7 linked regions of the Canis lupus familiaris genome follow. The protein of the gene in region 3 purifies or fractionates together with the protein of the main gene of each other region. This does not show direct contact. Links are inferred from orthologs where the notes say so. Each region holds a gene or a part of one and is shown on either strand. Other genes may lie near its edges. The genes, in order: HNRNPU, BCAS2, PRPF8, SF3A2, E2F-associated phosphoprotein, SART3 and SNRNP70.

Evidence for each region.
Region 1: the proteins of PRPF8 (region 3) and HNRNPU fractionate together in Homo sapiens (co-fractionation; 3 studies listed by BioGRID, with this or other methods). This does not show direct contact. The link is inferred for Canis lupus familiaris from reciprocal best matches to the Homo sapiens genes PRPF8 and HNRNPU.
Region 2: the proteins of PRPF8 (region 3) and BCAS2 purify together in Homo sapiens (affinity purification with mass spectrometry; 3 studies listed by BioGRID and IntAct, with this or other methods). This does not show direct contact. The link is inferred for Canis lupus familiaris from reciprocal best matches to the Homo sapiens genes PRPF8 and BCAS2.
Region 4: the proteins of PRPF8 (region 3) and SF3A2 purify together in Homo sapiens (affinity purification with mass spectrometry; 3 studies listed by BioGRID and IntAct, with this or other methods). This does not show direct contact. The link is inferred for Canis lupus familiaris from reciprocal best matches to the Homo sapiens genes PRPF8 and SF3A2.
Region 5: the proteins of PRPF8 (region 3) and E2F-associated phosphoprotein purify together in Homo sapiens (affinity purification with mass spectrometry; 4 studies listed by BioGRID and IntAct, counting the BioPlex papers as one, with this or other methods). This does not show direct contact. The link is inferred for Canis lupus familiaris from reciprocal best matches to the Homo sapiens genes PRPF8 and EAPP.
Region 6: the proteins of PRPF8 (region 3) and SART3 purify together in Homo sapiens (affinity purification with mass spectrometry; 4 studies listed by BioGRID, with this or other methods). This does not show direct contact. The link is inferred for Canis lupus familiaris from reciprocal best matches to the Homo sapiens genes PRPF8 and SART3.
Region 7: the proteins of PRPF8 (region 3) and SNRNP70 fractionate together in Homo sapiens (co-fractionation; 3 studies listed by BioGRID, with this or other methods). This does not show direct contact. The link is inferred for Canis lupus familiaris from reciprocal best matches to the Homo sapiens genes PRPF8 and SNRNP70.

Annotation. Positions count from the first base shown.
Region 1 is NC_049228.1:35,785,603-35,789,629, forward strand, and holds the start of HNRNPU (heterogeneous nuclear ribonucleoprotein U), read right to left. Parts: upstream 2,801-4,027; 5' UTR 2,562-2,800; coding exon 1,871-2,561; intron 976-1,870; coding exon 864-975; intron 780-863; coding exon 706-779; intron 1-705. UniProt on the Homo sapiens protein: DNA- and RNA-binding protein involved in several cellular processes such as nuclear chromatin organization, telomere-length regulation, transcription, mRNA alternative splicing and stability, Xist-mediated transcriptional silencing and mitotic cell progression.
Region 2 is NC_049238.1:52,811,323-52,814,822, forward strand, and holds part of BCAS2 (pre-mRNA-splicing factor SPF27), read right to left. Parts: coding exon 3,488-3,500; intron 825-3,487; coding exon 663-824; intron 1-662. UniProt on the Homo sapiens protein: Required for pre-mRNA splicing as component of the activated spliceosome. Component of the PRP19-CDC5L complex that forms an integral part of the spliceosome and is required for activating pre-mRNA splicing.
Region 3 is NC_049230.1:45,746,488-45,749,421, forward strand, and holds part of PRPF8 (pre-mRNA-processing-splicing factor 8), read right to left. Parts: coding exon 2,821-2,934; intron 2,738-2,820; coding exon 2,564-2,737; intron 2,296-2,563; coding exon 2,102-2,295; intron 1,369-2,101; coding exon 1,129-1,368; intron 1,032-1,128; coding exon 890-1,031; intron 380-889; exon of another isoform or gene 273-379; intron 1-272. UniProt on the Homo sapiens protein: Plays a role in pre-mRNA splicing as core component of precatalytic, catalytic and postcatalytic spliceosomal complexes, both of the predominant U2-type spliceosome and the minor U12-type spliceosome.
Region 4 is NC_049241.1:57,260,975-57,264,474, forward strand, and holds part of SF3A2 (splicing factor 3A subunit 2), read right to left. Parts: intron 3,361-3,500; coding exon 3,289-3,360; intron 2,250-3,288; coding exon 2,203-2,249; intron 1,776-2,202; coding exon 1,666-1,775; intron 695-1,665; coding exon 645-694; intron 564-644; coding exon 423-563; intron 121-422; coding exon 52-120; intron 1-51. UniProt on the Homo sapiens protein: Component of the 17S U2 SnRNP complex of the spliceosome, a large ribonucleoprotein complex that removes introns from transcribed pre-mRNAs.
Region 5 is NC_049229.1:13,544,231-13,547,730, forward strand, and holds part of E2F-associated phosphoprotein, read right to left. Parts: intron 2,644-3,500; coding exon 2,530-2,643; intron 1-2,529. UniProt on the Homo sapiens protein: May play an important role in the fine-tuning of both major E2F1 activities, the regulation of the cell-cycle and the induction of apoptosis. Promotes S-phase entry, and inhibits p14(ARP) expression.
Region 6 is NC_049247.1:18,673,732-18,677,231, reverse strand, and holds part of SART3 (squamous cell carcinoma antigen recognized by T-cells 3), read right to left. Parts: intron 2,890-3,500; coding exon 2,763-2,889; intron 1,413-2,762; coding exon 1,308-1,412; intron 1-1,307. UniProt on the Homo sapiens protein: U6 snRNP-binding protein that functions as a recycling factor of the splicing machinery. Promotes the initial reassembly of U4 and U6 snRNPs following their ejection from the spliceosome during its maturation.
Region 7 is NC_049222.1:108,017,718-108,020,850, forward strand, and holds part of SNRNP70 (U1 small nuclear ribonucleoprotein 70 kDa), read right to left. Parts: intron 1,258-3,133; coding exon 1,156-1,257; intron 1-1,155. UniProt on the Homo sapiens protein: Component of the spliceosomal U1 snRNP, which is essential for recognition of the pre-mRNA 5' splice-site and the subsequent assembly of the spliceosome. SNRNP70 binds to the loop I region of U1-snRNA.

The sequences.
Region 1 (4,027 bases), on a different chromosome or scaffold from region 3:
GAGGTTTGCAATACTTCCTCATACTCAATTGCAACCCAACTGGGTAAAGTAGCAGTATTTACAGCGCTGCCATTGATACCATTCGCTGCTGAAGAAAGCTAGTAGCCCAGTGATAGCCCACTGCTGCTGCCCCAGGTCTTTGGAAGAAATCAACTTATGTTAAAGCAGCAGCTACTGAACTGGAATTGAGAACAAAAGAGCAGTTATTGAAAAAGTAATATTACAATCTTTTAGAATAGGGAATATACTTGTGTGCTAATGGGAAAAAATCATTAATACGTATTTAACTAGCCCAAATAGCTCACTTAATAAAATGCTACCAAAAAAATTAAATTACTTTATCGTAGGAGCCTAAAAGGACAAGTTACAGGTTGTCTTACAAGTTTCCATTAGCTAACTAAACCAAAAATTGCCATTAATTTTACATTCCTATAAATGAGAACTTTCTAATCATATAAAAAATAACACCAAATTGCTGGAGCCTATAAAATTATCAATACGACACAATTGATGCTGTATTAGACATTTAGCTACCAGAATCTGAATAAAACCTTTCGTCTCCCTCCTTTAAAAAAGGTAAACGGTTTACGCTAAGTATTCTGCATTTAAATTCAGCACACTGCGTTTAAGTTCTCTAACATTTTGGCACCAAAATCGCCACATTTAGTAACCGGGGGAGAAAAGGGAAGAAACAGCTTCACTTACAAGTATCAAGACAAACCACTGTGTCATCGAAGTGCTCATCTTCTTCTTCAACAGGTGGCTGAGGAGATTTGGCTCTGAAAGACAGAATTGTCTCCTGATTCAGCTTTTCCTACCCCAGAAAGAACGGGGACGGGTAAAACTAGATCGGCATCCTCTACCTGCTATACTTGTTCTCTTCAATGTACTCAAAATATCCACGGCCATGATCTTCTCGAGGTCTTTTCACCCCTCTCTTTTTATCTCCGCCCTTCTGCTCTGTTTTGCCGTCTCCTATAACACACAACACCCCTAACATAAGGGGCCAAGCCGCGACGCAACCGGGGAAAAAGAAAAAAAAATCCCCCCTCCTGTTTGGGGAACGCAAATACTCCTAACTCCCCCGTTCTTTTCTGCAAGCGATTTCAACCGACGAATCCAACGCGAATTCAAAGAACAATCAGCTTGGAACCGGCCAGGAGCTAGTGACGCAGTCTAAAGACATTCCTAATTTTGCCAGCCTCTTCGAAGATTCGAGAAAGCTCCCGGAGCCCAGGGCGGCCCCGGCCCCGAGCCCACGTGGATCCCGGAGAGAGTTCAGGAAGGGGGGAGGGGCCGCGCCGGCCCGCGCGCCCGCCCCTCCCCTCCTCCCCTCCCCCACCCGGGCCCGCGTTCCCCGCGGCCGCATTGTACTGATCTTCCGCCCCGCTCTCCCCGCCCGGCCCCTCCCGCCGGAAGTGACGTCACGCCGAGCCCCTGCGCTCCTTGCACAATACCGCGGCCCAGCGCCGCCAAAGCGCGCCCGCCCCGGGCCCTCGGGCCTCTCTTCTCCCCTCCCCCCCCCGAGACATGTGCCCGCACCGCGCGCACGCAGCGCAGCGGCGCCACCGCGGGCCGACCGGGCTCCCGCCCGCCGCCCGCGGCTCCTCCCCCTCCAGCGGCAGCTGCAGCTACCACCCCCACCCCCCGGCCCTCCAGCCACATAATGGAGGCGCCGCCGCCGTCGCACACGCCGAGCCCGAGGCCGCCGAGGCCTCGCGGCCGGGCGGGATTCCCCGCGCCCCCTCCCCCCCGCCTCCCCCGCGGCGGCCCCCGCCCCCTCCCCCCCGCGGGGCTCCGGCAGGCCTGGGGCACGGTCCCCACCCCGCGCGGGCCTCCCGCCGCGCGCAACGTACAACGCAGCACTCACCCGCCGCCGGAGCCCCGGGGCGACCGCCGCCTCCGCCGCCTTCCGCCTTCTTCTTACCTCCCGCCTGCTGCTGGCCCTGCCTCGCCCCGGGCGGCGCCACCGTCACCGCGAACAGCGAGGTGGGGCCGCTGCTCTTCCCCGCGGCCTCCTTGGCGGCCCCGCGCTGCTGTGGCGGCTGCTGTTGCGGCGTCGCCGGCGGTTGAGGCTGCTGCTCCCCGTGCCCGTTCTCGTCGCCCGCGCCTTCCTCCTCGTCGCCGAGCTCATCCTCCCCTTCCTGGAAGCCCTGATCGTCGCCGTTCTCGTCCTCCGAGGCGGCCTCCTCCTCCTCCATCGGGCCCGCGTCGGCCGCCCCCGCGGCCCCGTTCTCCTCTCCTAGCTCCATCTGGTCGCCATCCAGGGCGGCGATCCCTTCCTCCTCCTCTTCCTCCTCCTCCTCCTCCTCGTCGCCGCCGGCCGCGGCCTCCTGCTCGAGGCCTGCTCCCGAGCGCCCGGCGGAATCCCCGCCCAGGTCTAGGCTGCCGTTCCCGGGCTCCATGGCGGGGCGGCCCCCGGCCTCCTCGTCGTCCAGCGCGGCCTGGAGGCGCTCCATGAGCTCGGCCTTGAGGCCCTTGTCGGAAAGGCGCCGCTTCTTGAGCTCCTCTTTCAGCTCCGAGACCTTCAGCTTTTTTACATTAACAGGCGAGGAACTCATGGTGAGGGCCCCGATTCACCGCTAGGCGCTGGCTCAAACTCGGCTCCGCTCCCTCGGCCACTGGTGGCGGCTGCTGCGGCTGCTCCTCGGCCCGGGCGGCGGCTGCGGCTGCGGCTAGAGGTGGGTTCGTGCTGCAGAGCGGACCCGCCTGGTGTCGAACGGCGCCAATTCCTTTCACCGAGTTCGCGAGGGAGACGCGGAGACTCGCCTGGCGCGAGCGAGCACGCAACGTCCTCTCGCAGGGGCGGCGCCGCGCACGTAATATAGGCGCCCCGCCCCCTGCGCTGACGGGAGCTCCGCTGCGGGGGGGAGCGCGCCCGCGCCGCGGGGCCCCGCCCCCGCGCCCCGCCCCCGCCCCCGCCCGCCCGCCCGCCCTGCCCTCCCCGCCCCCACGCCCAACCCGCCGAGAGCGCGGCGCCGGCCGCGCAGTGCGCTTCCCGCGGGGCCGAGCTGGGGGAGGAGGGGGGCCGCCTTTCGGTTACAGCGATCCGCCGCAGCCGGGCGGCCTCCCGAGCTGGGTGCTGGCGGCCCTCGCCTCGCTCTCGGCCCCCGGGCGCGGGGCTGCTGCACCCAGAGCCCGGCGGCCCCGGCCCCGGCCCCGGCCCCGGCCCGGCGGCTTCCGCCCGAGCCCTCGGCCTTGCTTCCATCTTGGATGGGCCTGCCTCTTTCTCTCGCTCGCCAGCCCGCTGCTTAAAACGCCTCGAAATCTTATTTCCGTGTTGATGTGTACGGCACGGACGGGCAGGCCCTGCCCGCGGGGGGTGCCTTCCGTCTCGCATTTGGTGGAATGTTCCCAGGCCCTGCCCTGCGCCCTGGATTTTAGGCTCGGGAAGGGCGAGGACAGAGCATCCCTTTTGTCTCTTCCCCAGCCCGGATGGCAGGGCTGGTCCGGCCGCCCCGGGGCGGGAGAGCGGGGCGAGCCTCGGAGGGGCACGTCCGCCCGCCCAGACGGCCCCCCGCGAGCTCACGCCCCCGGATCGTGCCCTCCGCCGCCTCTCCCCCCCCCCCCCCCCGCAGGAACACCCCCCATAAGTCGTGCTGAAGCCAGTAAGAGCTCAGGACGAGTCAAAGGGCCGGGATTTTCTAAGAAAGAAAAAAGAGACAATCGGCTCCCGAAATCTGTTGTGTATTTGGGTGTGTTTTAGAAGTTTGATTTTTCCCTTTTCCCAAATAAAAGGCATGTTAGGTTCTTGAGGTTGCGCACAGGGGGCCAGCACTTAGATACGTGATAGAGGGGCGCATGCGACACCCCCAAGAAAGCCTGCACAGTGACTAGACAACGTCCCACTATCAGAGAGCTCAGTCCTACCCACTGTGTGGTGCTGGAGCTGGAGTAGTGCTGCCCCGAATGTTAACTTGAAACTGGAGCAATACTAGCAGAGGCCAGTATGATTTAACCGTTGAATGCATTTTATTTTTTCAAGTTTCTTCTCCATAGCTTCCAAGAACCATGTGTTTTACCACTC
Region 2 (3,500 bases), on a different chromosome or scaffold from region 3:
AACTTTGCTTTATTTTTTATGAAAGAAAACAGAATCTGCCCGAATGAGTTGTTTTTAGGATTTAAGGCTGAAGTCTATATGAGATGTATATATATACACGCACATATATTATTTCTCCCAGGAAAAATGGTACAGTATTGGCTAATTCAGTATTCAAGGCCACTATAAAGTGGCCATAACATGTAATTAATGAGAATCGAATGTATGAGCAATCCCCCACGTTAAGGATTACATTACACCATGTAGTAATTTGTCACTCAGACCTCAGAACTCATTTAATTACAATGTCATACAATAAATATAGTTAGGTTTAAGTCCCCTCCATACTCTTGGCAGTGGGTCTCAAAGCAATGGCTTTTCATATGGGTTTTAATAGTTCTAGGACATGATCCCACATTAAAGTTCACTATACTATTTTTATTCCACTTCCCGTTTTTTAAAAAAAGATTTATTAATTTGGGAGAGAGTGAGCAGGGGGAGGAGCAGAGGGAAAGAGAGAGAGAATCTTCAAGCAGACACTCTGCTGAGCATGGAGCCTGACATGGAGTTTGATCCCATGACTCTGAGATCATGACCTGAGCTGAAACCAACAGTCAGACACTCAACTGACTGAGCCACCCAAGCCCCATTCCTGTATTTAAAAAAAGACCAAAGCTTCTTACTCATTATATACTTTCCAGGCATTGCATCCATGCTGTGACATTAGTTCCAGATTCTCAATTCGAACTGCCTGATGCTCTAACTGGGCCATAGAATTGTTTACACATTCTTGCCATGCAGTAATGTCATTTTTCTGACCCGAGGAAGGGGCTGGAAGTTCATATCTGAAATTAAACAAAAATAAAATGAAACCATATATTCCCCTAAATCTTTCCTTCCTTCCAACAGAAGGTCTCACAGGTCTATGCACAATGTAAAATCCATGGAAGATTAAAGATCAGATTGTGCAATAATAAGAACCTATTTATCCTCCTAAGAAACAACTCATTACAGGTAAGATTTTTTTTTTTAAAGATTCTATTTATTTATTCATTAGAGACACAGAGAGAGAGAGAGAGAGGCGCAGAGACACAGGCAGAGGGAGAAGCAGGCTCCATGCAAGAAGCCTGATGTGGGACTCGATCCCGGGTCTCCAGGATCACACCCCCGGCTGCAGGCGGCACCAAACCGGTGCACCACCAGGGCTGCCCTACAGGTAAGATTTAACGTCATTCTACACAGTACCAAAAAACTGTTTATTTCAATGTGAACACAATCAACTGGAGTATATTATAGGATACAAAAAAACCTATGCTATCATTTTTGTAAAACACACCTATATTCAGCCAGCTTCCCATCCATACACCCAGGCCACTCTAGACAAAACAACGGTAAGGAATATAGTAATTCTTTGCATTTGGACTTCATTCTACTCTCTCTCTTCACACTACACAGTCCTTCAACAGCCAGTAAGTACACTCTTCATAAATCTCAGCTCATTACTGATGAGTTACTACAAACTTAGTTTTAATTTCCATTTTAATATTTTGACTAGATAATTCTAAAAACTCCAAGTTATTCCTATGAAAAACTGAGGGGTATGCAACTGGGATCAAGAAGTGATAAACTGGGGTGCCTGGTGGCTCAGTTGGTTGAGTGTCTGCATACAGCTCAGGTCATAAGGGTCCTAATCCCAGGGTCCTGGGGTAGAGCCCCACACTGGGGTCCCTGCTCAGCTGGGAGCCTGCTTCTCCCTCTCCTACTGCTTGTGCTCTCTCACCCTGTCAAATAAGAAAATAAAATCTTAAAAAAAAAAAAGCGATAAACCAGGGTAACTTGGGTGGCTCAGTGGGTTAAGCATTCTAACTCTTGATTTGTGCTCAAGTCAGTGTTGTGAGATCAATTCCTTGACACCCTGTATCAGCTTCCATACTGAGCGTGGAGCCTACTTAAATTCTCTTGCCCCTTCTTTCTCTCAAAAAATAGAAGTGACAAACCATTTTGTTAAAAAAACAAAAAACTTTACACATATGCAATAAATGTGGCAGTTTTCAAACTTCTGATTATAACCCACACTAAGAAATATTTGTGATCCAGTACACAAAATACATATACTTCAACAGAAGTTTCACAAAACAGTACTCACCTTTACATGCAGTATATTCTGGTATTTTCTATTCTATTTCCTTAGAAAAGTACTGTGACAACCTGCTAAGTTTCCTTCATAATCCATTGCTTAGTGACTCATTACTTCTGCTTTGAGACACAGTGCCATAAAGGAGGTACTGTCATGATTATCTATAGAGCAGAAGCGCCCAGAAATGGAAGAACTAAGGAATCCTGGATCTTCTCCTGCCTTTACCACTTAGGCGAGACAGGAAATGGAGCCCAAGAGAAGCAATATGGTACTCTGGTTCTACAAACTCAAATCCCTCTTCTAACCTACTCATTTGCTGAGAGGACAGACCTGCTGTGCATGTGGCCCTCTCTCAAAGGACTCTGCTCTGACAGATTACTTAGTGCTTCTCATAATTCCATAGTTATCTTAAAATTGAAAGGATCTCAGTCATAAAGCAATCCAATTCTCCATTTTAGAGAAAATAAAGGATATTTGGATATTTGTTCCTCAGAGAGCAGTTTTGTAGTAAAGTGGCACAGGACGGAAGACAGTGGAACCAATGTCAGACTACGTGAGCACTCCGTGTTCACTAATGTTGCTTTGGCAAGAGTGAAGCAAGGATCATTATAAACCATAACGTGGTTTCATCCAGAGATGTGATCAGTGAAGAACTAGACATCTAATCAGGAACATTTCCTTAAAAATGTCTTTTTTTTTTTTTTTTTAATATTTATTTTAGAGAAAGGGAGCAAGCAAGCACAGGTGGAGGGGTGGAGGGGTAGAGGGAGAGAGAATCCCAAGTCGACTCCATGCTGTGTGTGGAGTCCTTTGCGGGACTTGATCTCATGACCTGAGCCGAAACCAAGATTTGGATGCTCACCAACTGTGCTACCCAGGCACTCCTCCTTGAAAATTCTTAAGAACATGCACTTCAACACAATTTACCATTCCTCTGTTGTTGGATTTTACATTTTGCGTTTTTTTTTTTAAAGAAAGAGAGTACACCCACGTGCATGGGTTCATGTGAGTGGAGGTAGAGGGGCAGAGGGAGAATCTTAAGTAGGCTCCACACCCAGTGTGGAGTCCTACACAGGGAACTGACCTCACAGCCCCAAGATCATGACCTGAGCCAAAATCAAGAGTGGGATGCTTAACCAACTGAGCCATCCAGGCACCCCTATTTTGCCTTTTTAAATGATGGTGCAAAGAATACATTTGAACATTAACAAAGGATTATAGGAACCACTATTACATGAAGAAACATAAACATAAAGCCAGACAAGATTTTTTTCTTTTCAACATTTTAAGAGCAATAGCTGTGGCAGTTTTACTAGTAACTTAAAATTAAGCAATGATTTGGGTCCAGCGGAAACCAGAAATACAACTTACCGTTTCATACTGA
Region 3 (2,934 bases):
TTTATTTATTCATGAGAAAGAGAGGCAGAGATCCAGGCAGAGGGAGAAGTAGGCTCCATGCAAGGAGCCGGATGTGGGACTCCATCCCAGAATCTGGGATCATGCCTTGAGCCAAAGGCAGACACCCAACCGTTGACCCACCCAGGTGTCCCTATCTTTTTTTTTTTTTTAATGAACTTCTGCAAATTCCCTATTCTAGGTTCTACCCATCTTATCTTAGAATTATGCAAATATTTTCTTCCTGTTTTTGGTATGTCTTTTTTTTTTTTTTTTTTAATATGGAACGCTTCACAAGTTTACGTGTCATTCTTGCGCAGGGGCCATGCTAATCTTCTCCTGATCATTCCAATTTTAGTATATGTGCTGCCGAAGCGAGCACTGTTTTTAGTATGTCTTTGTCTCACACAAGTTATTGATTATAATTTAATGTTTTGTGTCTTAAGAAGACCACCCCAAAACTAAGGTAATTAGCTATTTTCTTCTAATACTCTACAGCTTAGTGTTTTGTTTTACATGCACATCTTTATGTGCATTTTATTTTTTAAGTGTTGTGAGGTAGGGTTCTGATTGTTTCAGTATCATTAACACATCCTTAATCCTACAGACCTGTTACACATTTATCATAGCCACATGAATCTGTTTCTGACTATACGCTATCGTCTTCCAATCAATTGTGGGCCAATACACCATTTTCTTAATTGCCACAGCTTTATAACGTTTTAATATTTGGTGGGAGCCAAAATCCTTCTTGCTGTTTCAGCTATTCTTATATACTTATTCATGCATAAATCCTGAAACCAGCACCTCAAGTTCTAGGCAATCTTAGGTGAGCTTTAGGCAAATAAAATGTTGGGCACACATTATGGCCTAATTAAACACACTTACTCACTTGGGCCCGAAGGTCAGATATGCAAATAAACTTCTTAAGCACATTCTTAGGAAGGATATAGGTATAACCGGTCTCCTTGATGTCATCAGAGGACACGTAGATATGATTGGTCCTTAGGTGAAGGTTGGCAGCAGAGATGGCCCTAAAAACGGTGGGGAATGTCAGCACTTCTGAGGCCTACAATGTCAGGTAGCATCAATAGGTTTTGCCATCCCTATCCCTCTCATTCCTTAGAGTACCTAACCCTCCATTCAGTCTTAGACGAGAAAGTCTGGGTCTCATAGTTGCTGGTGGTAGAAGTAATGATCTCATCGCCATGCTTGTTGACAGTGCGAGTCTGCGTTGCTGTCAGCTGTGACTGTTCCTTGGTCTGCTTCTCAATCTCTGCTATCTGCTGCCGCTGCTGTGATGGTGCCGAGATCTCCATACCCAAGATGATGTCTCGAATTTCTGACTGTGTCAGTGATGCCACATTGACGCTGTGGGGAAAGCAAGGATAATACCACAAGATCCCTCCCCTTGGTCAATTTTGTCCAAGTGACAGAATGTAACTTGGTAGGACAGGGGACCCAATGCCCTTACCCCAGACACATCTCAAGTGGCACTTGTAAAAGAAGTATGAGGTGGAGATGTACTGATACTGCTAAGATTTATCACAGCCCAGGATGGCTCTGTGCATGTACAGCTTTCAGCCATGCTCAAACCTGCTCAGTAGCCATACCTTCCTCCTTTCTTTGATAAAAAGTGCCCTGGTTTCTAGGACAATTCTTAAAAATAGAAACCTTTAGAACTCGTTCTCAATTACAGCTAATATTGTCTGTCACCCTAGGGTTATCTGGAAATCTATGGACACTTTTATTTTTGGTTGCCACAATGACAGGGAAAGGGAAGAAGAGGTGTGTCTGTGCTATTAGCAGTGGTACCTGGGGATCTGGGATATTAAAACTTCCTGTAATGTATGGACAGTAAAGAAATGCCCTGCTCAAAATGGCAACATGGGAAAATGTCCTAGAATCAGACTAAAGCCCTAAAACAGACATTTTCTGCATTATTTGAAGACACTGCCTACCTCTTTTCTATAGGCATCTTTAGGACAATACCTTGAAAAATTTCTGAACCCACATGTTTCCCAAAACCCCAGAAACCATATACTAAAAGATTCATTTCACCCTTTTAGGATTTTCCATCTGTCTCCCCACCACCACTGCTCACTTGTTTTTCTTGCCATAGTCGGCCAAGATAAGATCTTTGAGCTGCACCTCCACCTTGATCCACTCCTCGTCAGTCAGAGTGGGCCAGATGTGGTGTGGTTCTGTAATGGTAGTCTTGTCTGGCTTCAGGATCACCTTTGCTCGGTCATTGTTAACATGAAGAGCACGCAAAATCAGGATGAGACGGGAGAAAGCCTGAGAAAAGGTATGGCAGCGGGGGGGGGGGGGGAGGTCAGCCACTAGATGTCCTTCCTTGATTTCCTTTCAGGGAACCCAGGAATGGATTTCAACCACTCTCCCAGTCAACTTTACATGCAGAGCATAGAATTGTTATCCACAGGTTAAAGATGTGAAAATGGCCTCATTAGGGAACCTGAGTAAAAGGTAAGGAAGGCACAGGATTGTCTCGTGGCCCCAAAACCACCTCTCTTAGAGTGACCCTCTTTGTTAGGGGATTTCATACCGTGTAAGATGAGATAGTCTTGAGCCAGTCATCATAGAGATTAAAGAGAACCATCTGGGGTTCAGTGGCTTTAAGGATGAGGTCTCCAAACTTTTCCACCTTGAGACAAGCCTGGAAAGGTAGTTGGAGCTCTGATCCTTTGATCACAATATTGGGGAAGTCCAGCAAGTGCACCTGAAATAGGATATCAAGTCCAAAATTTAAAAAAGAGCCTGCAGGTCTCAGCCCTTCTTTCTTCTACCTCATCCACCTCTCACCTCCAATGGGTCCAGCATGCCCTTCCTAGTAACAATGATCTGCTTGGGCTGCTCCTCTACAGGCAGAGATCGGATCAGGGCAGCCACTTCCTCAGCTGTCTTCCACTTAGCCAG
Region 4 (3,500 bases), on a different chromosome or scaffold from region 3:
GCAGGGCAGCCACCGAAAGCCCCAGAACTGCCCGGACCCAGAATGACTTACCTGCTTGGTTTCCCGATTCCAGTGAGTCCAGAACTTGCCTTCGGCCTTATCGATCTCCCTGCTTGGCACCTGTGCAGGGAGTGGAGGCAGAGGGGCCTCAGGATTCGGCTCTGGGTACCTGACCTGGCCCACGTCGCCAGCCGGCCACCCCGGGGGAGGGTCGTGGTCTGTCTGGGCCCAGGACGAGGTCATGGGGTCCCTGACCAGCCTGGGAACGAGGGCTTCTTACGGCTAGGGGCACCTGGGACCTCAGGATGTCCCTCCCCAGCCTGCCAGAGCCAAGGACCCAGGTGGGGCACCCGTGAGTGGCTGGAGGGACACTCCAGCCTCGTTGCCTGCCCACGAGGATCGGTGGACCCCGCCTGCACTACCTTGAAGGCGATGGTCTCGTAGGGCTCAGCAGCCATCAGCAGGTACTGCCAGCGCCGGTCCGGAGGCTCGATCCTCTGCTCGTAGGCGGACATGAAGCGGTGGCGGGGCATGATGCCCTCGGCGATCTCAGGGTAGTCGATCTGTGGGGACACAGCAGGTGGCAACGCCGCCTTTCAAGGGACCCTCCCTCACTCAGGATGGGACTCCAGGTTTAACCTTACCTGGAAAAGGAGGCTCTGCTGGCCCATCTCCGTGTCCCTCTGCTTGGTCACTGCAACACACAAGGGTCTCAAGTCCCGACTAGCGTGTCCCCCCGAAGATAAAGGACCGTGGCTGCTGCCCACGAACGGGAGGGCAGGACACTAGAGGACACCAGCTGGCTGATACACCAGAGCTACCTGCAGTCCACGCCCAGGGCCAGGAGGGTCCCCGCGTGAGATCACACAGGGAGGGGTGTGGGCAGGAGAGTGGGCTCTGCGGCCCTCACCTGCAGGGCTGGGACAGCACGATGTGGGTGCAGTAAGGCTAGCGATGCCCGTACCCGGCTTCTGGGAGGCGGCCCTCTTCATCAGAGGCCAGTGGCCGTGCCCACACTTCCAGGCTGCTCTCCGTCCAGCTCCCAGGCACGCCACACCCTCCTTCAGCCCTCAAGCGTCCCCCTACTTTAATCAGGACAGACACCAGGTGCCCTATTATGGCCAAAAGGCCTCTAGTGGCCTCCCCACAAGGATCCTGGCATCCGAGCCCTAGCTTATGAAGCACAGCTGCACGGCTCCGTCCTGCCTGGAACGCCCGTCACCCTCGCGGCGTCCCTACCCTTGGTTAGGATACCTGCCTGGTAGTTTTTCCTTTCCTTTTAGCTCCCAGGAACACAGTCCCCTACATGCGGTTTCTTACACGGACCCCCTGCCCCACCCCACCCCGAGGTCAAAAGAAAGGGAATCGCTGACCCCCATGGCCACACACCCTCACTAGGACTGTAAAGAATCCCCAGCTCCCGAGACACTGGAATACGGCGCAGGGGAGCCACGGCACCCTGATGGGTTGTTTGGGAATGTTCACAGGAGAGGCGGGGCCGGGGCACTAGCGGGGTGCCCGTAGCGGTGCAGGTGAGGGAGGGCCCCTGCTGCGACGGCCAACGGACAGCAGTCCCGGTGGCTCACGGACAGGGTCGGGGGTCTGTGCCAAAGGCTCGTTCGCGTGCACCACCAGCAGCAGGCCAGACCACACTCCCAGAGTTACCTTTGTAGCCCGGGCGGCCAATCTTCACAAACTTCTTCACCTCCACCTTGACCTTTTCTGGTGCCGGCTGGGCGGGGGCCTCCTTGGCCTCCTTGGCAGCTCGCCGGGCCCTGCAGGCGGGACGGACACAAGCGCTGTGGCCCCTCCACACAGGCTGCCAAGGCCACAGGCCCAGGTGCTGGGAGCTAACCAGCCTCCACATTGACCTTGGGCTTTGTCTGGGAGGCGAGTGGCGTGGGGGTGCTGGCTGGGGGTCCCAGGGTTTGCCTGAAGTGGGGATGGGACAAGGTCGGGGCACCTGTCCCTTCTCATCACGTTTCCCACCGTCCTTTACTAGGGAGTCTCCGTGAGCCCTCATCTCTTTCCCACTGTGTCACGGAAGCCTCACACCCCAGCAAGACCGGTTAGCTTAACCACTCAGCCCCGAGGCACGGCTGGGCTGGGCTGCTTCTAGCGTGGCTCGCAAGGACAGACCCAAGTGCGCTTTGTGTACCTCGGAGACCAGACACGGCCCTGGAAGGAGGCGGGGGTACTCACAAGTTGGTCTGATGCTTCTTCCCTTGGGTATGCGCAAGGTAACTGCCCTGGAGCGGGAAAAGCACACACACAGCCCAAGTGAACGGGTGGGCAGAGAGGAGCCGGCCTGTGTTCACAGGGCCCAGCGCGAAGCGGACACCGGGTCACCGCGGAATCAACAAACTCTAGCAGGTCCACATGAAGTGCAATGAGACACATGCAGAGTGGGACAGAGTAGGTCTGCGAAGGTCCGCAATCACGGGGTGTGGGACACGGCAGGTCTCGCCGCCTGTCATGGGAGGGCGCCTACTGGACCTGGCTGGATGGTGCAGACTACTTGGCAACCGCTGGCAAACCCAACGGTGCACACACCCTGTGACCCTGCGCGTCCATGCTGACCGCAGCCTAGGGGACCTCTAGAGAGCAAGGTGAACCCCATGTGTTTTGGGACCACCAGGGGGACGCTGGGCCACGTTTGGGGATGTCTGTGGTCGTCAAGATGAGGGATGCTGCTCAGCACCCCCCAGAGAATGACCCGGCTCTGACGTCAGCAGTGCTGAGGGGGACAGACCCTGACACGCAAGACTGGCTGAGTCAGCACCACTTGTACACGCGCTGAAAGACCATCAGAACATTCCACAGTGTGCAGAAGACCAAACGGAATCTATTTGTCACTGAGTGGGTCAGGGCAGCCTGAGCGCTAGTTATACCATCGTGGGACAATGTACGGTCGTTCAAAGAAATGAGCTAGAGCCACACTAATGAGATCTCAAAAACTGAATCCAGAATGTCTGGGACGGGCCTGCCCCACAGCTGCAAGTCTAGTTCGTGCAGGAACGGCAGTGACGACGCTCAGGGGAAGCACGCCGGAGGGGCCCCTGGCGCACCACAGCGGCAGCGGGCTCTGGGGGCGCAGGCTGAGATGGGGGGCACTCAGGTGAGCGAGCAGATCCGGGCCTGTTGCCCTCGTTGTTGCCCTGAACAACGTCCCAGAATTAGCAGGGAGAGCACGACCAGGATGCGGACGGGCACAGAGTCCCGCCTGAGCGGGACAGGCGGCACCTGGACCTGGCGGCAGGAGAGCCCAGCCCGGAACTAGGGACGCACCTCGTTGTTGTGCAGGGTCAGGCACAGCTTGCACTCATATGAACCCAGGTGGTTCTTCATGAAGTAAGGGTCCTGGGGAGGGAAGCACACTCTGTTAGCACCCATCGCGCCCCGTGGTCCCCACCTGCTCCAGGAGGGGCGAAAGCCTTGTCTTTGTCCAAGAGGCACAGACCACCACTTGCTGGCAGAGAGGGGCAGCTGTCCCACTTTGG
Region 5 (3,500 bases), on a different chromosome or scaffold from region 3:
TCAGGGCATGATCCCGGTGTGGGGATCGAGCCCCACACTGGGCTCCCTGTGAGGAACCTGATTCTCCCTCTGTCTATGTCTCTGCTTCTCTCTGTGTCTCTCAAGAATAAATAAATAAAATCTTTTAAAAAATAAATAGTCAATTAGTCCATAGTGAGACACCTGGATGGCTCAGCAGTTGAGTGTCTGCCTTCGGCTAAGGGCTCACAAGTGATCCCAGGGTCCTGGGATCGAGTCCTGCAACAGGCTCCCTACAGGGAACCTGCTTCTCCCTCTATGTCTCTGCCTCTCTCTCCCATGAATAAATAAAATCTTAAAAAAGAAAAAAAGTCCATACTATCCAAAGTCATCTATTGTCAATGCAATTTTATCAAAATTCCAATGGCATTTTTCACAGAAATAGAAAAAAAACCAACAAGCTAAAAAGCTTCAGCATAGCAAAGAAACCATCAACAAAAGGAAATAGAAACCTACGGAATGGAAGAAAATATTTGCAAATCATGTATTTAACAAGGGGCTAATATCCAAGAAACTCATACAACTCAATAGCAAAGAAAAAAAAAAGGCAAAGGCAAAGAACCTGAACAGACATTTTTCCAAAAAAGATATGCAAATGGCCAGCAGGTACATGAAAAGGTGTTCATCATCCTTAATCATCAGGGAAACGTAAATAAAAACTGTAGTGAGGTATTACCTCACACCTGTTAGAATGGCTACCAAAAAGACAAAACAAAAGTGAACACTTGCACATTACTGGTGGGAATGTAAATTGGTATAGTGACTATGGAAAACAGTATGGAGGCGCCTCAAAATATTAAAAATAGAACTACCATATGATTCAGCAATCCCACTTCTGGGTATATAACTGAAGGAAATGAAATCACTCTCTCGAAGAAATATCTGCACCACGACATCAGCCAGGTGATCAAGGTCAACATTAACAGTTAATAAATCTGTTTTTTTTTTTTTTTTTTTTTTTAATTTTTATTTATTTATGATAGTCACAGAGAGAGAGAGAGAGAGGCAGAGACACAGGCAGAGGGAGAAGCAGGCTCCATGCACTGGGAGCCTGATGTGGGATTCGATCCTGGGTCTCCAGGATCGCGCCCTGGGCCAAAGGCAGGCGCCAAACCGCTGCGCCACCCAGGGATCCCTTTTTTTTTTTTTTTTTTTTTTTTTTTTTTTAATTTTTTAAATCTGTTGATTTTTGTTGTTGTTGATAGTCCATGCCCTTGATACAATGTAATGAAAACAACACTTTACCTCTGTGGTCTTCTCCCCAAAAACCTACTGCAGCTTTATTCATAATAGCCAAACATGGAAACTAAGTGTACATGCTACGTGAATGGATAAAGAAAACATGGTGTATAGATACAATGGAATACAAAAAAAAAGAAAGAAAATCCTGTCATTTGTGAAAACATGAATGAACCTCGAGGGCACTAAGCTAAATGAAGTCATAGACAAAAAATTACTGAATGATCTCACTTGTATATAAATCCAAAAAAAAAAATGAACAGTAAGAAACAAAGTAGACTGGTGGTTAGTGGGGGAAGGGTGGACAAGTGAAGACTGTCAAGTGGTACAAACTTCCAATTATAAGATGAAGGTCTGAGGATGTAATAAACACAATGTCTACAGTTAACAATCTTGTACTATATACTTGAAGTTGCTAAAAAAAACTAATTTTAAGAGTTCTCAACAAACAAAAAAAGGAAAATACATGAGGTGATGGATGCATTAACCTTATGTAATCATTTAGCAATATATTTGTATATCAAATCATCATGTTGTACACTTCAAACTTACATAATGTTATGTGTCAATTATATCTCGATAAAGCTAGGAAATGATTTTAAATTTTTAAATGGTCTAGTTGACAATAAATTTAATACCCAAATGATGTACTCTTTAATAAAAAGTTTTCAATGGTTAAAACAGTAAATTTTATGTTTTATCACAATTTTTTAAAAAAGAATGTATTTGACAGATTACATCATTCCACAATATATATGCAGTTTCACTGAATCCTTTTAAGTATGTGCTTTATTAGAAAAACTACTTATGAGATGCCTGGGTGGCTCAGTAGTTGAGCGTCTGCCTTCGGCTCAGGTCCTGATCCCGGAGTTCCAGGATCTGGTCCCACATCGGGCTCTCTGCATGGAGCCTGCTTCTCCCTCTGCCTGTGTCTCTGCCTCTCTGTGACTCTCATGAGCAAATAAATAAAATCTTTAAAAAAAAAAAAAAAAAAAAAATGAAAAGAAAAAGAAAAAGGAAAAACTACTTAGAACTATGTATAACTAAAAAAAAAAAAAAAAAAGAACTATGTATAACTAAAATTATTTGTATAAAGATTAGTTATGTAGCAGCAAGGACACAGGAGGACAGAACTTTATCAGAATTCCTAAGTATATACCTCAAAAGTCTATTTCTGATTTAAACAAAAAACCAAGTTGTTTTTCATCATTTTGTGTATGCATGTGTGTGTATGTGTGTTTGTGGTGTGCTATGACACCCTTTATCCATTACCTTTGGCAATCAAGACATAGTGTGGTCATGCAGGCAGGGCAATTCAAGACAGCATCACTATTTGGAACAGGCTGCTGTTGTTGATATGGTCTCTGTATTCCAAAACCATGGTAGCTGGAATAAAAAAAGAAAATGTGGGGGGGGGGGGGGGGGGGGTAGACACACACTTTAAAGCCAGATCTTGATTTTCTTTTTTTAAGTAGGCTTCACACCTAAAATGGGGCTTGAACTCAAGACCCCAAGATTAAGAGTCACATGCTCTGGGGCACCTGAGTGGCTCAGTCAGGTAAGCATTGAACTCTTGATTCTAGCTCAGGTCATGATCTCAGTGTTGTGAGATCAAGCCCCAAGTCAGGCTCCACTCGGCATGGAACCTGCTTAAGATTCTCTCTCCCCCTCTACCCCTCCCCACCCTCTCAGAGGGAGGGAAGGAGGGAGGGAGGCTCTACCAACTGAGCTAGCCAAGCATCCCCGAGACCCTGATTTCTAATGCCACCCTCCAGTAAAAGAACCTAGTACTCCTAAGAGAAATGACTGATTCTAGGAATGAGGCATATGAAATGAACCTGGAGCATCTTGTAGTGCCAGGAAGTAAGGAAGTGCTCAAAAACAAGGAGGTAGATATATCAAGGGGCACAGAAGCCAACTCAAAGAATTAGAGTTGGCCAAAGCTGAAACAATTAGAACAATAAAATAAAGCAGTATTGGATACAAAATATAAATAAATACTCACAAGTCCATACTGATACAAATGACTAATGACTGAATAAATGAATGAGGGAAGAACGGAGGGAGGGAGAACAGACAAATGTCCCAGATGGAAGAATAACTTATGAAGATACTCTCCTCTCAAGGAAGTGGAGCATAATGCACATAATGACTTCCTTCCAAAGAGTACAGTATAGACAGGAGGGGCGGAGAGTAACTTTACAGTAGAGAAACCTGACAATTCCTTGCTAAGATGATCAAGG
Region 6 (3,500 bases), on a different chromosome or scaffold from region 3:
GGCAGTCTATCTTCCAAGTTCCAGGGATTCTCACAAGGTGAAATTCCCCCAGTGGGGAGTGGGGAGAACCAGATATGGAAGAAGGATGTTTAATTTAAAAGGAGAAAACATTGGCGGGGGGGGCGCCTGGGTGGCTCAGTTGGTTGGGCATCTGACTCTTGATTTCAGCTCAGGTCATGATCTCAGGATTGGGCTCCGTGCTCAGCATGGAGTTTACTTGTCCCTCTCCCTCTGCTCTTCCCCTCCCAACTCCCCCAGCTTGCATGCACACCCTCTCAAATAAATAAAACCTTTAAAAAATAAATAAATAAAAGGAGTGCTTTTTAAAAAATATTTTTAAAAAACATTTTGCCCACAGCATTCTCTGATGTGTCCTAAATGTACATACAGAGAATAAAGAACCGGGGACGCCTGGGTGGCTCAGCAGCTGAGCATCTGCCTTTGGCCCAGGGTGTGATCCCAGGATGCAGGATCGAGTCCCACATCAGGATCCTTGCAGGTAGCTTGCTTCTCCCTCAATGTCTCTGCCTCTCTCTCCTCTGTCACTCACAAATAAATAAAATCTTAAAAAAAAAAAAAGAGAGAGAGAGAGAGAGAATAGAGAATCATGCTACCAACAGGGGAGGGTAAAGAAACTTAAAGGGAGAGGGGTCTACCCTCCACCTGTGCTAGCAAAACATCAACTCAAGCAGACAACACAGACATCTGTGGGGATAGAGGGTTATGTATCTCAACTACAGTGGTGGTTACTAGAATCTCCATGTTTGATAAAATCTCAGAGGTAGATACACACATTGTACACTAAGATTAATTCCCTGGTTTTGATTTTGTGCAATAGTTACAAGATATTGGGAAAAGCAGGATGAAGTAAGTATAGAACCTTTCTGCACTATTTTCCCGTAAATCTGTAATTATTTTAAAATAAAAAGGTTTTAATAACTTTTTAATATCAAAAAAACAAACAAACAAACAAAAAACAAAAACAGTTTTCTGTCCAAAACTTCTAAAAACCCATTCAACATGTAAAAGGCAACCTTTAGTCATCTGGAAATACTATGTAAGTTCTCCCCGCCAGAAAGATACTAGGTGTGAATTTATTCACTCCTTTACTACAAAGGTTTCTTCTATGTATTTTAAAACCAAATATTCTCAAATGAAAACCACAGAAAAATAAGTAAACTCAAATCTTTTTAACTGCCAGACTAACCCCCTCCTTTCTGAATTGGGGGCACACCTCACAGTACAACCCAGGGCAGCAGAGATGGATGCATTCACAGACACTTAGAAAAAGTGAATGGGGAACTTACAAATGTAATCCTTCACAGCTTTCTCAAAGAGTTCGTACACGTGCTCTCTGTCCAGGCCGTCCAGAGCCATGCTGATCTCATCATGCAGCCACTCCAGCCAGAGCTCTGCAAGACAACAGCACCTCCTGCATCACCATCTCCTTCCCCGAAGGGCAGGATGAAAGCAGGGACTTTACTCTGAGTCACGAGCACACAAGCATTTTACCCACCATATACAACTTGCTACGGTTCACAGAAATTCAATTCTTAAAACCTGTACCAAGCACATAGAAGGTTTATGCTTCCAATAAGATCAAACAACTAAAATCATAATACCCTACACCTGTTGGGCATTTTATTATTTTTGTGAAATACTTACACATATATATTTCTCATTCAATCTTTGTTAAATTCCTGTAGATGATAGTCATAATAATGAATACTAATGGCATTTATCAAAGCATTTACGATATTCTAGAGTATTTGTTACATGTTGTACATAGGATATCTCATCCAATCCATGTACTATAAGGCAGAAGATATTGTTAGCCCATTTTACTGCTGGGAAAACTGAGTCTTACAATGTTTACATAATTTGCTTAAGGTCATACAGCTAGTAAAATAATAAAACCAGGAATGAATCTGGGCAATCTGATTTCATACTCAGCAGTTATGCTTTTGGGCAGAGAGAGGGGGACAGAGCTGGATCTGGGACCAGCATTCTCCAAAGCCTCCCTAAAAGATCAATTATAATAAACATTCCTGAACACTCTTCTACAAGATGCATGGTGTAATTATGTTTCAAATAAGCAAGTAAGTATAAATAACCTAAATGCCCAAATACTGTGTAACAAACAAGGTATAAAACATTTGCATTAAAAATTGTTTATAAAACCTTAACTAGGGGTGCCTGTGTGACTTAGCTAACCATCTGCCTTCATCTCTGGTCATGATCCCAGGGTCCTGGGATCGAGCCCCATGTCAGGCTCCCTGCTCAGTGGGCAGCCTGCCTCTCCTTCTCCCTCTGCCTGCTGCTCCCCTTGCTTGTTCTCTCTCTCTCTCTCTCTCTCTCTCTCTGAAGATCTTAAAAAAAAAAAAAGGAAAACAACAGTTTAATTATAATACAATTATGTGGTGCTGAGAGAATGGATTAAATATATAAACACTGGAATGGAAAATAGACACGGGAAAAGTTTAATCACATAAAAAGTTTTCATCATGACATAGGATTAAAAAAAACAACAACAGAATCCAAAATATGAATCAAGATTATATGATCACAACTAAGTTTTGCAAAAAAAACTAGAGGATGAAAAACTAGAAATCATGGACAATGGATGATGGGTTTTCTTCTTTGCATTCTATTTATATGTTCCAGATTTCTGTAAGTAACACGTCCCAGTTTCAGCTCTGAAAACAGAATATATACTCTTCAGTTCTCTGTTTATTAAAGCAGCCTCGCTGCTGATATGTTACCTTCAGTCAAAGGAAAGATCTCACTCATCTTCTGGCGAGCCATCCTCACTTTGGTAAGCTCCCCTTCCAGGCGGAGCAGCCGGATCAAATCCACATGGCAGTTGTAGTCATAGACGTTAATAGATAGCTAAAAGGAAAAGAACACCAGGTGAAATTTAAAATGCCACCATCAAAATAACCTAGCACCTTTTAACCACCGGGAACAATGCACATGTCTGCAACAAACAAATGTGCTATCTGGGAGAGCCACTGAGACAGTGATACAACATTTACCTCCAGGAAGAGAAAGAAAATCTCTTTTTCTCTAATAAATGCATATCTCTTCCAATCTGTTCTAGCTGGAGGAGAACGTAGTTAGGTTTCTTTGAAATACAGGAAACATCCCGATGAAACAAACACACACACAGTGTGACCTTAGGTTATTAACTTTGCCAAGCCTCTATTTCCTCATCTGTAAAATGGGAATACCACTAGGGTCTAGTCCATAAGGTTCTTGTGAGGGTTTCAAAAGGTGATTAATAACATGCTTTAGCACCTGCCAGCTCTATAAGAGCTTTCTTCTTTTACTAAACAAACACACACAAAAGTGAAAATCCCTACTGGGAGAAACAAGAATGGCAGTACCTGTTGAAGCTGAGTGATAGGTATACAGATTTATAGATTTGAAACTTTTCAAACTAAAAGTTAAAACAAGTTAAAATAACTGTTTAAAAAGCTATCAGACGTCTGAAACAACAG
Region 7 (3,133 bases), on a different chromosome or scaffold from region 3:
TACTTTTCCACAGATATATACTGGGTCAGGATGTAGTAAGTACTGCTATGCCAAAGTCTGAATGCCAAATGAACTACAAGATTCTGCGATTCCAGGATTCTACAACAGAAAATAGCAGACTATGAAAAACTCACTCCACCCTCAAGAAATGAAGGCGATAAGAACCTATTACTGTTCCAAGACTCGGCAGGTGAGTGTGTGGTCTACGCTGCACAGGCAAGTCCAGGGTGACCATCTTTCTTAGAGAACTGTCACTCACCCCTGCAGGAGTAGGTCCTTAACATGCATGTTTAGATGGCAGGACAGCAGCCCCAGGTCCAGGCCCAATGAAGAGCCACTCAGATCCAACCCCCCGGAAGTATAGACTCACCAAGACTAGGTGTAGCACTCATGGGGCCAGTGCAGGGAAACACAGAAGAGACCAGTCTGCACAGACAGCAGACAAGGTGGAAGCAAGCTGCTGCAATGGCAAAGGTGGCTCCTGACAAGCTTAAAATCTAGCTACCAGGTCCTCGAGGCCCACTGGCATCACACATCTCTGGCCTCCAAAGGACCTCCAGGATTCTCTATCAATAAGGCTCCCTTTATGTTTTAAAAACCTCAAATGTATTTCCAATACTTACAACCAAACTGATTTTAACACAGTAACAATCAGAGAGAGACACAGGCCATCTGTCTTGCTCCTGACTAAAAATGTGGTACATAGCTGGTAATCAAAGAATAAACAAATGAGCAAGAATCAAGAATAAGTAGATGAGAGAGTGATATTTACAAGCCCCGTCACATGCCACATGCCAAGCTAGGCATCTAGGCATCTGGTATGCTGAGCTCCGTGAACTCTTGAGGTTAGCCCCAATTTCTACAATAAGGAAAATGAAGCAGGGAAATCCACCAACTAGTAAGTACACAAGCTGACATTTGATCCCACACTCGCCTCTCCAGACAGTGCTCCCACTCCTAATCAGTAAACCAGAATGAGAAGTCAGCCACCAGGAACGATAATGATGGTGACAAGAGAAGAGGAGCTGGAGGAAGCAAGGGAGGACGTGATGAGCGGCCAGGAAAGCAAAAAGGAGAAGGGAAGACAGCAAGCAGCAGAGGATGCATAAGAGAGTACAGGCCCACCAAGGCTCAGCCAGGGCAGGAAGTGCTCACCTAGCCGCCGGGGCCGCCAGCCCTTCACAGTTCGGCCCCTCTCCACGTCCACAAGGACTCTCCGGCCATCAATCTTCTTGCCGTCTGCGTGCTTGTAAGCGGCTGCAACAGATGCGGGGAGGGGGAAGGGGGAGGAGTCCCCAGAGGGTCCTCTAGTCAGGACAGTGCCCAGCTCTGCAGCATCCCCACCCTCACGTCCCCATCAACACACTGTGCACACACACGTGCGTGCACGCGCGCATACACACACACACACGCACACCAGCCAGCCAGTCAAAACTGACAGCCAGACCAACCCTCTCCCAAACCAGGAGGGGCCTGCTCCATCTCGGCACCTGTGTATTATCCCCCAATGACGGTTGTGGGGAGCAAGACGACCCAACCACCCTCTCCTGGGCTCCCAGGCCCTTCCCTACTCCCATTCGACGGAGCAGCCCCCTCCTGCCCAGGCGGCCAAAGATGCTGCAAAGAAACTGGAGGTTAACTTAAGGCTGGACTCTGCTGTGGGGGAGGGCTCCTCCACAACCCCAGGCATGCACCCTAAAACATCATGCTGGGGGAGGAGGCCCAGCTGGGCCGCTCTGCACCCCAGTTCACACCGGTTTTCCTTTTTGCTTTTTTTTTTTTTTGGGGGGGGGGGGCGGAGGTGAGCGTGGGGAGAACAGACATCAGAACAGAAAATGAACCAGAAAAGGGTGGGAGAAATCTTTAGGAGATGACAGGGAGCAGAAGGGTGGGTTATGGTGCTCCCAGGGGGCCTGGAGGGGCCCCCCTACAGCAGCTAGGGCAGAGGGAAAGTGGAGGAAGGTATGGGAGGCGTGCGGTGCTACTGACAATTCCTGCCTTACCTGAGCCGACTGACTGCCACCCAATCCCAGCCCCCATTCCATCTCTCCCTCCACACCCCCAGCTCAACACAAGCTGGGCTGGGAGGCCAACCCCAGCCGGAGCCTCTTGGGAAGGGTGAGGAGTAGAGGGAGAGATTCAGGAAGAGGCATATTCCTGCTCTTGGGCAGGGCACAGCGATGGGCAGGCCCAATCCCAGGCCTGTCTCCCATGGGGCATCAGGAGGGCAAAAAAAGTCCGTTTCCCACCCCCAGCCCTGGCCTAGGGGGTTGTCCTCAACCAACCACAATACCCTGCCCCGCCCCAGCCCTCTCCCCCCCAAATAACAACCAGAGGAAGAGAAAAAGGTGCCATTTACCGATGCCGGCCTTGCGGGTGTCCAAACCGAGCGGGATGGGGGGGGCTCGGCAACTCCTGGGGGCCTGGCGAGGAGGCGGGCTTCCCGGGGGGGGACACGGGACCGCTTACCTGGAGCCCCCAAGCTTACCTGAGCACGCGCACAGACCCCACACCCACCACCATAGGGTCAGCTAAAGCTACAGGGAAGGGAAATGGGGGGGTTCTAGGGAGCCACAGAGAGGGAGAGGAACCACATCTCCTGCACCACCTAGAGACAGGCAGAGGCAGTGGTGGACCCCAAAGAAACCTCATGGAGGCCTTGAAAGAGGGGGAGACAAGGATTAACATCAAGTCTAGGAGCTGGTAATGCCCTGGAACTAGCTTGTTGTATTTAAAAAGAAGGCTGGGGAGGCCTTAGCAAAACTGTTGGCCCTCACCTTTCCCAGTAAAGTCCACACTGAACTAGGCACACGCCCCACCCTCCTCGCAGCACATGGAAGGACTTCTCCACTTTGGATTCCACACTCCCTCCCACCACCTGCCACTCAAAGGCTGGCACATAAGGGACAGCCTGGGGGTGGGGGGTCCAGGAGATGGAGTGCTGCCCGTGATCTGGAGGAGGGGCCACTTGGCCCCCCCAAACCCAGAGGAGGGTATTACGGGAAAGGGATTTAAGGACCGGGAGCACAGTCAAGCAAAGGAACCCTGCTCTGGTTCAATGTCCCAAACCCCAGAAGAGGCCCAACCCAGGAGTACCAACAAAGAAATCATGTGACATGTGTACTTCTAGGCT